2 linked regions of the Caenorhabditis elegans genome follow. The protein of the gene in region 2 interacts with the protein of the main gene of each other region in a pairwise test. Each region holds a gene or a part of one and is shown on either strand. Other genes may lie near its edges. The genes, in order: rund-1 and unc-108.

Region 1 (5,922 bases), on a different chromosome or scaffold from region 2:
CAGGCTCTGGACACTCCATCTGTTCATAATCGGTATTGCGCTACAACTGAGTGTAAGTGTAATTTATCAACCCCCAACAAGAAATGTATTTCAGTCATGCCCCAAGCAGAATCGGGAAATTCGTCAGCTTTCAGTTTGCAGGAAAAGTTCAGAGCAGGAAGTGTAGATGCGGGGGAGAAAGTGAGTATTAATTACTAATTATTTTGAAGAATATTATTTTGAAAGTTTAGGTTGCATTTGGATACGGAATAATTCATCACGAGAGAACATATGTCTATATGCAGGATGATCCGTGTCCATGTAAACTTTTTTGCTAATTTTCACATATCACAAAAAACTAATTTCAGATCAAATTGTAGTAGTTGGCCCAATAAATAAGCAACACAACCAGTATGAATACCTAATTCTCTCAAATTGGGCTCGTTTCCCAATGATTGGTTTAGTTCGAGATTTGAGAAAGTTCTATAAAGAGTACAAGGATCAAGTGGAGACCGATTTGGAAAAAGCCGGATTCATGGATGATGTCACAGGGTAGGTTGGGCTTTTGGGCCCGCAAGATGTCCTTACATTAATGAACGGAAAACGTTTTTTAGTATCCGACAACCGTTGGGAATTCATATCGAATTTGACTTTTCATAAAAAATTATTTTTCAGAAGCAACCCTATTCATTACGCCGACTGGTCACAGTGCAAAAAAGCAACTCCATACAATTATCTTACAAATGTTCTCACTGATCTTTTTGGGTAAATTATCAATCATACTTCAACACTTTCATTTAAGTACTAACGTAATTTATTTTCCATTTTATTGTTTTTATTGAATAAAACAATTTTCAAAAAAAAAGTGGCAATTAATTTATTTTATCCCGAACCTGTTTTAAACTGTCTTGATTGTTCAGTTCCAGTCATTTTAATATGCTTATTACAAATTTTTTGATATTATAGTACTAAAATGCGTCTTTGATTTGTTCGAATGGCCTCAAAGCCAAGTCAACCGGTAAGTGAATACTATATTTGTGAAGACCTTCGAGAAGTGTGTAGAGTTCCTCACAGCCTGAAAATAACGAGTTGAAAATGGAAAAAAGAGAAGATGGTACCCACCTGTTCTTGCAACATAACTCCAAGAGTTGTAGCACATTTCGACAACTTGTCGGGTTCGAAATATGATCCTGCAAACAAATTTAATTAGTTTGGACATTTGAAATAAGGGCAATTGACGGGTATTAATATATGTAGCAGCTCAAGGATTTGATATAAAATAATTGGTTTTTTGTTTGAGATCACCCTAAATAAATGAACTCGTACGAGATTATTAGCAATAATACTAACAAGTTAATTAATGTCTTGCAAAGTTCTAATAGGTAAAACATCAAAATTCTTATGGAATTTCAAGCGGATAAAGTCCTTGTCAAGATGAATATTTATTTCAGACGTGTTTCTACATTTTCTGAGGTTTTCAGTCTAGGAGGAACGGCATGATCTAAAATTGCACTGTATTTTGGAGTGCGTCTTATTTTTTGTGTACACAAAGTGGTAAACGTATGATCTAAATATTCAAAAGTTGCGCGGTTTTTTTACGAAAAAAAGACTTCCGTACCTCAACCAAGCAGGTAATTTTTTCTCATTCAAAGCAGCTGAGACAAATGCTTTCCAATGCGCATCTTTTGATCTTTTTAATCTTGCGTGAGTCGAGATGATGTTTTCAATTGTTGTCAGCAAAACCTAAAAAATTAATTCGCTTGTTCGCGTCCTTAAAAAAACAGATTCTACCTGTTTTGAAGTTATGCTTCTTCCTCCGACGTGATCCAATTTAAAGGATTGACTCAATTTTCTTACAGGAGCATCTGTGGTGTCTCTTCCAGTTTTTAAATTATAAAAGTATAAAATCACATCCCAAATATGACTCAATGACGTTGATTTCTCGTCCGCCGAGCTTTTTGCGACAAAACAGCCTAACCCCGGTATCCGCTTGTGCACCACTGTTTCTGAGAGCATCCCATGCTCTAGAAGGGCTTTCAATGCAAGACACAGCTGCTTTCGGACAATAGTTACCACTTCCTCTTCAGATCGTTCAAAGACCTCCTGAAATGTGATATTGCGAAATGAAATATCTCCTCATGTGAGAATTTGTGAATTTTGTGCCCTACGTCATTTTCTACTTGAACTTCTTCTAATTGGCCTTTTGTTGCCGAGTCGAATGTCAGTAGGGTGTATTTTTCCAGCACTTGTTGTGTGGCGTCTACTGCTAGTTGCACATGCGCCCGTTCGTCTCTGCAAAAAGTTTGAATGAAAGATGCTCGCATAATGGAAGTGAATGTGGGAAATTGAACAATAAAATCGTGTTTTTTTTGGCAAAAATATTTTGATAAACCGAACATTAAAATTATATTTGGGAAGTTACATTTTTTGGTCAGTGGTTAGTGCAAAATTTAATTTTGTCAGTGCTAGAACCAATTGAAGATTGTTCGTTTCATAATCAAAACTTGAAAAAGTGAAAATTAAAATTTTTTATAATCAGACAAATATCCGAAACCCAAAGTTCTTGTAGTATGTCAAAAACACACATCATTAAAGTTTGGCTCAATAAATGTGTGCAAATACGTGATCTGTATCTTGTGGTTTGAGCAAACACGTATAGTGGTGTTTTTTGCTCACATGTTTGTATCAAACTTTTAATAAATATTTTTATCGATTTAAAAAGCGTAAATATTTTTCGATCACAAACTTGAGAAACTAACCCATAATGATTTCCTTTCAAAGTATTTTTCAGCTGATTTTTCTGAAACCTTCCTGTTGAGCACCCGATGATTCCACTTAAAAATGATCCGTTTTTAGATTTGGCACCAGACAGCGGCGTTGATCCCATGCTCTGAAAGAAAAAATTGACTAGAAAATTAGTGAAAAACAACAATGATCATACCCGAACCGGTGTAGTTTGATTCGAATTTTCAGCATTCTCTTTCTGAAGAAAGTTGACAAAACGTTCCAAATCTGTGATCTGAGTCTGAAGTTGGTCTACTAGTTGTCCCTTTTCTTTGAACGGATTGACAAGTTGCTTCAGAGCATCATCTACTTGCCGTTGTATTTCTGTTTGGTTCATTTTATCTATGTCTAGATTTAACTCGATTTTTTCGCGGAGTTTATCCAGAACGGCTTTCTACAAATTAAAATTCAGCATAAACTCTTACTTTTATACAAACCTGTTTCTTCAAAATGTCAGTACTTGGAAGCTCGCCTTCTCCATTTTCATAGGCAGTCCTTTCCAAGTCTTCTACTTGCTCGCGGAGCTGTTTTAGCAATTCTTTTTGTCGTTCATTTTGCTTGTCTAGTACATCATTTCCACTTTCACTTTCACTTCGTAGCCTTTGCAGCTCGTTCATGTCTGTGCAACCCTTGAAAGCAAATTTTTGAAGATCAGAGAGCAACTTCTGGAAAAGACATATGAGATGAGGCAACTGAGCCTAATAGCTTACTAATCTATCGCTTGGGTCCGCTTCATTCATTTGCTTTATCCGGAACTGCACCTGCGCAAAATGGGAGCTCAGGGAAAATAACGAGTTATTGAGTCGTTCCTGCTCTTCTTCCAATTGTTGTACCCGTAATGCATCGTTTAAGCTTCTAAAAATTGAGTTCTGAGTTTATCAGTTAAAGGTAGTGCAGTCAAATTTTTTTTTATTGCTTTACCGAATTTCATAATAAAAATTTTTGAAAACTTCTCGAAAAAAGTTATGGAAAAAGTCAAAAAATGATTTTGATGAAATAAAGCATTAAAAATAATTGGACTACATCAATTTAATGAGATATTCAGGATTAAAATTTTTGAACCTACTGTTGCATTGACCACAATTTACACAAAAAGCTTACCCAATATCATCACTATGACTAGAAGACAACCGAGCACTTTTCCATTCAGTTTCAGACATTGTGTCATCTGAAAACAATTATTTCAGAAAACAAAAATCACTTTTAACTCACAAAAATCCAATCCATCCACAATTTCTTTTGAATCTTCGGACGCTCGCTTTTTTAAGGATTGACCCAACTCTACTAGCAAGTCGCTGGCTTCCAACTCGTTCATCATTTTGGCAAAATTTCTGGCACCTGAAACAATACGTTGAAAAAAAATTAATAAAAAAAATAATTATATATTATTACGAATGAATAACACGTACATTTTCAAAATTTTGTTTGAAGTGATGATTATTTTGAGATTGTTAATTGAAAGCTGAACAAATTCCATTTATTGAAACAAAATGAAAATGAAAAATGGGAGTGGACAAATAAATTACATCACGAAACATTAAAAACAATATATACTTTACTTTTTTTTCATTTTCCAATTTCCGTTTTTCTGCTAAAAGGGTTTTCAGAGAAGAGAAAAACTGAAAAAGAAAAAGATGACGTATGCTTTTAAAAAGGATTGCCGGACAAAAAAGGGGAAAAAGAAGGAGAAAAATAACGGAGCACGCAAGAGAGCAGAGAAATGAGGCAACAAACTGCGTCTCGTGTTCTTCATGCACTCTCACGTCGTCGCTCTTGGTTATCGACCGCCATGGGTAACGTGGAGAAAGACGGAAGAAGCATGGAGAAGGGACGCTTTTAGTCTTGGAAATGACGAACGAAATCCTTGTGGGCGGACATAATTATGAGAGCTTTTTCGACATGGAGGGGTTTAATTTTCATATGGCTTTGAAAATGCTCCAGGGTTGCGCGACGACGATTTCTACAAAAACCGAAATAGCGAACTGGCGGATTTAGTTTCATGTTTTTGAAAAACTGCCGAATTTGTCATTTGTCAAATAATATATTTAATAATATCATCAAAACTAATAAAAATTATTTAATTATTTAAAAAAGCATTCACAACTAAGTTTTTGAAATTGTTTTCCGTTTTTGATGTTTTTTGTAGGAAAATGTGGCAAAAGTTGTATGGTATGTTAAATTGGGTAAGAGAGATTAAAGTAAAAATGAAAGAGGTTTTTTCTGTATCTCAAACGCTTTTTTTTTGGCTAAGAAATTCTGATTATCTCGCTCTGAATCATTGAAAACAATTGAACACATGTTGGCCAAAGTTTGCCATAATTGGTTGAGAGGTGGCTAAAGTTGGTTGAAGTTGGCTAAAGAAGACTACAAACGGCGAAAGGTGGCGAAGGTTGGTTGCAAAGCGACTGGTTGCTTAAAAGTGGTAGAAAAGTGGGCAAAGTTGGTTCAGAAGTGGTTAAACATGGTTTGAAAGTGGTGGGAAGCTAAAGTTGGTTGAGAAGTGAGGAACGTTGGTTTAAGAGTGGCGCGAATTTATTCACTTTTCGTGTTGGCTCTGAGAGAATTTAATGAATGCATTCATTTTTAAATTTTCGAAAATTAAATTTCAAAATTGAAAAACCAAAAAATGTTCAGCAATTGCCGTTTCTCCGTAAATTTCGCAAATCGACAGTTTACTGAAATTTCTGAAAATTTTAAAATTCAGCAATTGCTAAGACTTGCCACAAACATAAAGTTTCTAATTTCCTAAAAGTTCTCAAGCCTATGCATTTGTTGTTTTACTTTTAAACTCGAAGTATCTGAGACCTGCTAATATTTTAATGAGAAAAACCTGTCGAAACTTTCCAAATTTGATTTAACGCTATATAATGAAGCTGATAGTGAGATCAAAAACAAAGTTTTATGTTTCAAGAAAATTTGAAAACATTTTATTTAGTTATTTAGCAACTTAACATACACATTACTTAAAAAAGTAAATCTTTTGCTCACTTCTCAATGAATTTATATTAAAACAAATAAATTTTTTTTGTCTAACTTTGAGTTTGTCCGCATTTTCGGAAATTGCCAAACTTTAAAATGTTTGACAAATTGGTGAGTAGGGAGTTTGACAATTTTTTAATAGTCTTGGCAAATAACAAATGTCAGAAAAAAATAAATAAA
Region 2 (5,942 bases):
TGACTAAATTAACGAATTAACGCCAGATAAATAATCAAAATATGCAATAAATCGGGATAATTCGATAAAAACTATATTTCAGCCGCTGCGACAAAGAAAAAGTTGACAAAATTTCGCAAAATCCTGCCATAAAACTATCAGATTTTTTTCTTGTTGAGAGTTTTTGAATATTTAAGCAAAAAAATCCACAGGTTTTTTTTAAAATCATAATAACTAAAACTTTTTGAAAGCATTTTTTTTGTTTTTTGTTCCGAAAATACTTAACACAATGCAATCGACAGTCTTGAAGACGAAAGAAAAAAAGCAAAAAGCGACAGCCCTGGACCTTACTCCCCTTAAAAATCAAAATAATAATTTCAAAAAAAAATTCCAGCGCTCAAATGATGCTCAACGTGGATTCCCAAATGAAATGTGCGGACTTCGATCTCGATCAAATCACCAAGTCACTTAACACAATGCAATCGACAGTTTTGAAGACGAAAACCGAGACCCCGCTGGAGAAAACTGAGCTTATTATGAAGAAGCAGCTGCAGAAGCTGATGGATCTCTCCACTCAACACGGTACTAATTTTAGAGTTTTTAATCAAATTATTAAATGTCAATTTTTATTTTACAGATGCTACTCGTGATAAGCTGAACAAGCTGAAGGATGACCACAATCTGAAAACGAACAACTCGTCGAAGGCCTAGATTCTTACTTTTTATTTATATATTCATTTTTTCTTTAAATTGAAACTCTAATTCTTTAAACCTATACACTTTCACCTGTTTTCTTCATGATCACCACCATCACACTATTTATTTTTTTTGTTATTGTCTGTTTTGTTGTGTGTTTGGTTGAGTTTGTGAATGAACTTGTTTTTAAAAAATATTGATTATATTTTGGTTTTTTTTTTCAAGTGTTTTTTAAAATTACACTGATATATTTTATATTTTCTTGTTTGGAAAATATTTACTTGTGTATTTTAACTCTACATTTTAAAATTAAATTTTAAATATAATTAATTGTTTTATTTCTTCATTTTTTTTTTTTTTTTGGCTTGGAAAATTTTATTTAACTAAAAAAATTAACATTTTAATATGTGGCCCAAGTTATACCCAAGTATTTACCTCTTGCTCTTTAAATTTCAACGAATTTCGTTGAATTTCCCCCATTTGCGGGGGTCACTATTGTTATCAAAAGATCCTTATCATAGTTTTTGATGCTCTAGAAATTTCTAATTGCTTTTCCTTGTGATTTTGAAAACGTTTACAGTGATGTTTCTCTTTTTTGATTTCATCAATTTATCTTGCATCCCTAGGAGCTCCTAGTCAAATGTTAGTATTTTGTGATTTTTGAAAGTACGGTAGCTGCGAGATCGATCGTTTCGAGACTGGAAACCCTACTTTTCATCAAATATCGTAAGATTCCTCGAAGGAGTAACCACCTGTATTGAAAATCGAGGGTGTCAGGTTTTCAATTTTTTGCTAAAATCGAAAAACTAAACTTTTCTTAGAAATAAGTTTTTTAATTCACCAATTTTTGTTTTTGATGTTGATGAAAAAATATATTTACGAAAACAATTTTTAATTTTCTTTTCAAAAAATAATAAAAATAGCCAAAATTTAAAAAAATTTTTTTGATTTTTAGTGGAAATTCAAAAACCGACACCCTTGATGTAAAATTTCCCAACATTGAAAAAGAGTGATATCATTTTTTCCAAATTAGTATTCGTCAAAGTGCAAAAATGCTCTCCGTCTCTTCTCAACGTTGTGTCGTCAATAGTGCTGCTCATTCGCAATTGTTGCTCTCAGAGAGCAGAAGTGGAGGATTATTCGTACACCTGAAGAGACTATATTCCCGCATTCTTTCCTCTTCGTCTTCTTCTTCTTCTTAACCGAAAAATTCGTCAAGCTTTCGCCTTGCTCATTATGCAAAATCTGTTTGCCCCGAGGTCCGGCTAAATGAAGGATCCGAGTGTGTTTTCGTTGAAGATGTCTTTCTTCTTTTCTGTTTTCTCTCTTTTTTTTCTTCTCCAGCTCCACGTAATTGGTGACTCGAGTAGAACTCTATAGCCATTCAGTCTTCTCCAACATCGTCTAACAAAGCCTCTCTTTCAGCTTCTATCTTCTCTCTCTCTCTCTAGTTGACGTCTTCTACGTCTCTCTCTCTCGTTTCAATCTCACTAACCCCCTATTCACGTGAATTCAGCGTCGTCGTCGTCGTCGTCTTCTCTACCCGTGATTCTCGTGACTTCACATAAGCACAATGTCTGCGCCTCCGCTATACGGGTATGATGATAGTCCAATAAGGAAGAGAAGCTCTCTATTGCAGAGTTGAATCTTTTGGGCTAAGTTTATTAATATGGCCATGCACCAGCTTTTTTTTCACATTCACTTCTCTTGTTAAGAAAATTTGAGTAAAATTCGAGTAAAATTACGACTTTTGTAGAATCTGCTATTTTAATTCCAGTGGCCTAGATTTTAAGCATATAATTTGAAGTTTTTAAAACTTTTTACCGATTTTTACTTTTAAAGTTAAAAAAAAAATTATTGATATAATAGTAGGTCCTAAATTATTACGATGTATGCTAGGTCTACTAGCTCTTCTGAAATGAATTTCCACAAATTTATTCGATCATTCCAGTGAATTGGAACTTCCCTCTCAATTGAGACTACAATAATTTGAACATCGTTAGTTATGCGATCAATTAAAGGGCGAAAGGATAACGCATACACTTTCGTTTGCCCGATGTAGATAACAGAAAAGCCATTAGTTGAGAGGCGTCAGTTTCATTATAAACTTCGTAATTCACTTCTGTTTCATAGGCAGTTGCAATGAAGTGATCGTACTTTAGATTTTTTTTTTCTAATTGAAATAATTTCTCCAAAAGCCCATGACCGGAAATCAATTTTTGAAATTTTCATCTGTCGCACACTCTCTTTTGCCAATTCTGTTTGGCTATATATATATGTGTGTGTGTGGTTTTGTGCATGGCTACGAGGGGCTCGACCCAATTAAACAGCACGAAAGGGAAAAGGAGTCCCTCTCTTTTTCGCTCAGCTTTCTCTTATTCCCGATTCTAGAGAGCCGCGCCCCCGACATTTGACATGGAAGAAGAAGAAGAAAAAGAAGAAGAAACATATGAGATCTCACGAGCGCACATCTTCTGAAATGAATTCCAATTGCACCTTCTTATTCGTGTTTCCTGCCAGCAGACTACTTTATTTCTTTTTTTTCTGATCTATGTGTCTTAGAATCTGAAAAAAATTTTTGTCCATATCTGGGCGAGACCCATGGAAATTAATGTAATGTGCCTTTAAAGGAACATGAAAAAGAAAATCCGAAAAAAAATTGAATTTGCAAAAAAAGATATCTCCAAGAAGCCTATTGCTCATTTATTTTATTTTGGCAAAATTGAAAAAAAAAAACATTAACATTTTTTTTTAAATTTTCAAGCAGTTATATTCGGTCATTTAAACTAAAAAATTGTGGCTCTACTCCACCTTGAAATAACCACAATAGTAAGTACAGTAGTTTCATTAAAATAATTTACATTTTTTGGCAGCAAAAAAAGTCTGCTCCCAAATAAAACCCAGACCCGCCGTTCATCACTTGTGTTATTCTTTTCTCGAAAAAAAACGACTCGATCCATTCGTTTTCAGGATATGCTTCTGTGTGTGTATGTGTGCAAAACGAAGAAGCACGTCATCCGAAATAAATAGTCACACATCTCTTTGCTCCCATTTTCCCTCTCTTTCTCTGGTTCTCTCTATCTCTCTTCATCTCTCTTGTTATAGACGCAGAGATAACCCTCCGCTCACAACCACGCTCACGAGACACTCACCACGCGCTCACTCTCTTCGATTTTTTGGCTGTGTTGGTGGTGGCGGTGGCAAGAGAGAGAGAGTGAAAAAATGTGAAAAAAAGGCATGGGTTCCTTGGAATATATATGTTTGGAAGAGGTTATATTGACTTTAACTAACTTTTTTTGCTCAAAAATTTTGCTCTTTTCTGCTATTTTCGCCAATTTTATTTGCTTCAAAAATGTTTTCTAACATGCTGGCCGAACTTTTCCCTATTTCTTATCCATCTTCATCATATGATTCGACCTCATTTCGTAACTTCCTTCACTACGCTCCTCAGTCATGAGGAAGTATTGATTGGTCTGCCTCGTCCACACCACGTCATCAATTTTCCAAAGTTTATGTTTTTTCAGTGTGTGTGTGTTCTCTTCTTCTATTACTTCTACCACCTTTCTCTCTCTTTTTTCACTTTTTTGAGCATTTTCCGATCAATCAATAATCGATTAATCAATTAATCAACTTCCAGAAGAATGTCATATGCCTACCTTTTCAAGTACATTATCATCGGGGATACTGGAGTAGGAAAATCCTGCTTGCTCCTTCAGTTTACCGACAAACGTTTCCAGCCAGTTCATGATTTGACGATTGGTGCGATTTTTAAATTTTATTCAAGTTTTTTTTTCAAAATAATTATTTTCCAGGCGTCGAATTCGGAGCCCGTATGGTGACAATTGACGGAAAGCAGATCAAACTTCAAATTTGGGACACAGCCGGACAAGAATCATTCCGCTCCATCACTCGTTCCTATTATCGTGGAGCCGCCGGAGCTCTTCTCGTCTACGACATTACACGACGCGACACATTCAATCATTTGACATCTTGGCTTGAGGATGCCAGGCAGCACAGTAATTCCAATATGGTTATTATGTTGATTGGAAATAAGAGGTAACATTTTTTTAAAATATAGATTATTGGTTTTTAATATATCGAAAAATAGGTTAACTACTGTTGAAATTCAACGATCGATCCTTGAATTTTGAAAATAAAAATTTTCGCCGGTTTTCCACTGCATTCTCATTCGAAAAAAAAGAACAAAACTAAAAAAATAGTAAAATCGAAACCTTTTTGATTAAAAGCTGTGAAAAAAAGGAGAAAAAACAGTGCCACTGGGTTGCGAATTCACGCTCCGCATCTCTTTCTGTGTGAAGTGTCAAGTTGCCTTTTGCAAAATTCAAGGATCGATTGTTCAAAAATTTCTCTACAAAATCGAACAATTTATAGAAATTTGGTTTTCCAAATAAACACATTTTTATTCAAAAAAATAAAATAAATGTTTTCAGTGACCTGGAAGCCCGTCGCGAAGTGAAACGTGAAGAGGGAGAAGCATTCGCACGAGAGCACGGACTCGTATTCATGGAGACATCTGCCAAGACGGCTGCCAACGTGGAAGAGGCGTTCATCGACACTGCCAAAGAGATCTACCGTAAGATTCAAGAAGGCGTGTTCGACATTAACAATGAGGCAAACGGAATCAAGTTGGGACCACAGCACTCTCCAAGCTCACCAAATTCTCCAGGTGGAAATGCGACGGGAGGATTGGGCGGTGGATCTGGATGCTGTTAATTTTTGATGATGTTTCTTTGAATGAGCTTTGAATGTTTTAACTAAATCGTTTGAATACCAATCTTTTTTATGTTTCCTCCTCTTTTCGAATGTCGTTAGGCACTTTTCTAGTCTCCTTTCTCTCTTCCAGAACCATAATTTTACTTTACATATATATTGCAATTGTCTCTTATTACTACCATCATTTACTGTATATTGTCGCCTGCTTTTTCTCTTTCTCCTCTCTTTCTCTATTTTCTCTCCTTTTCATTCAGTCTCTCACCAATTGTGTGAATATCTGAAATTCCTGTGATTTTCCACTCAATCCATCAGAACAACATGTTGTGAAAATCCCGCTCTCTCTCCCTCATTTCCTCTTAAAAGTTTGTATGTAAGCTCTACTTCTTTTTTCCTTTTCTAATTCTTTCCATTTAATTACTATACGTCTCCAAGCTATCAAAATTTTCAGTGAAATAAATGAATTTTATGAGCGTTTCGTCGAGGATGGAATATATTTTTCTTAAAGTTGAAGTTCTTTTTGATTATTTTCTACA

Evidence for each region.
Region 1: the proteins of unc-108 (region 2) and rund-1 interact in a two-hybrid assay, tested with the Caenorhabditis elegans proteins (one study listed by BioGRID).

The regions. Positions count from the first base shown.
Region 1 is NC_003284.9:657,677-663,598, forward strand, and holds rund-1 (RUN domain-containing protein), read right to left. Parts: upstream 4,102-5,922; 5' UTR 4,082-4,101; coding exon 3,976-4,081; intron 3,932-3,975; coding exon 3,865-3,931; intron 3,619-3,864; coding exon 3,474-3,618; intron 3,429-3,473; coding exon 3,201-3,428; intron 3,158-3,200; coding exon 2,921-3,157; intron 2,870-2,920; coding exon 2,739-2,869; intron 2,272-2,738; coding exon 2,148-2,271; intron 2,083-2,147; coding exon 1,771-2,082; intron 1,723-1,770; coding exon 1,598-1,722; intron 1,170-1,597; coding exon 1,102-1,169; intron 1,055-1,101; coding exon 948-1,054; 3' UTR 801-947; downstream 1-800. Other genes in the region: lpr-7 (Lipocalin domain-containing protein), read left to right, coding at 4-52, 95-180, 231-300, 348-531, 655-748.
Region 2 is NC_003279.8:3,820,635-3,826,576, forward strand, and holds unc-108 (Ras-related protein Rab-2), read left to right. Parts: upstream 1-2,248; coding exon 2,249-2,271; intron 2,272-4,312; coding exon 4,313-4,434; intron 4,435-4,487; coding exon 4,488-4,731; intron 4,732-5,126; coding exon 5,127-5,409; downstream 5,410-5,942. Other genes in the region: npp-11 (Nsp1_C domain-containing protein), read left to right, coding at 374-561, 617-690.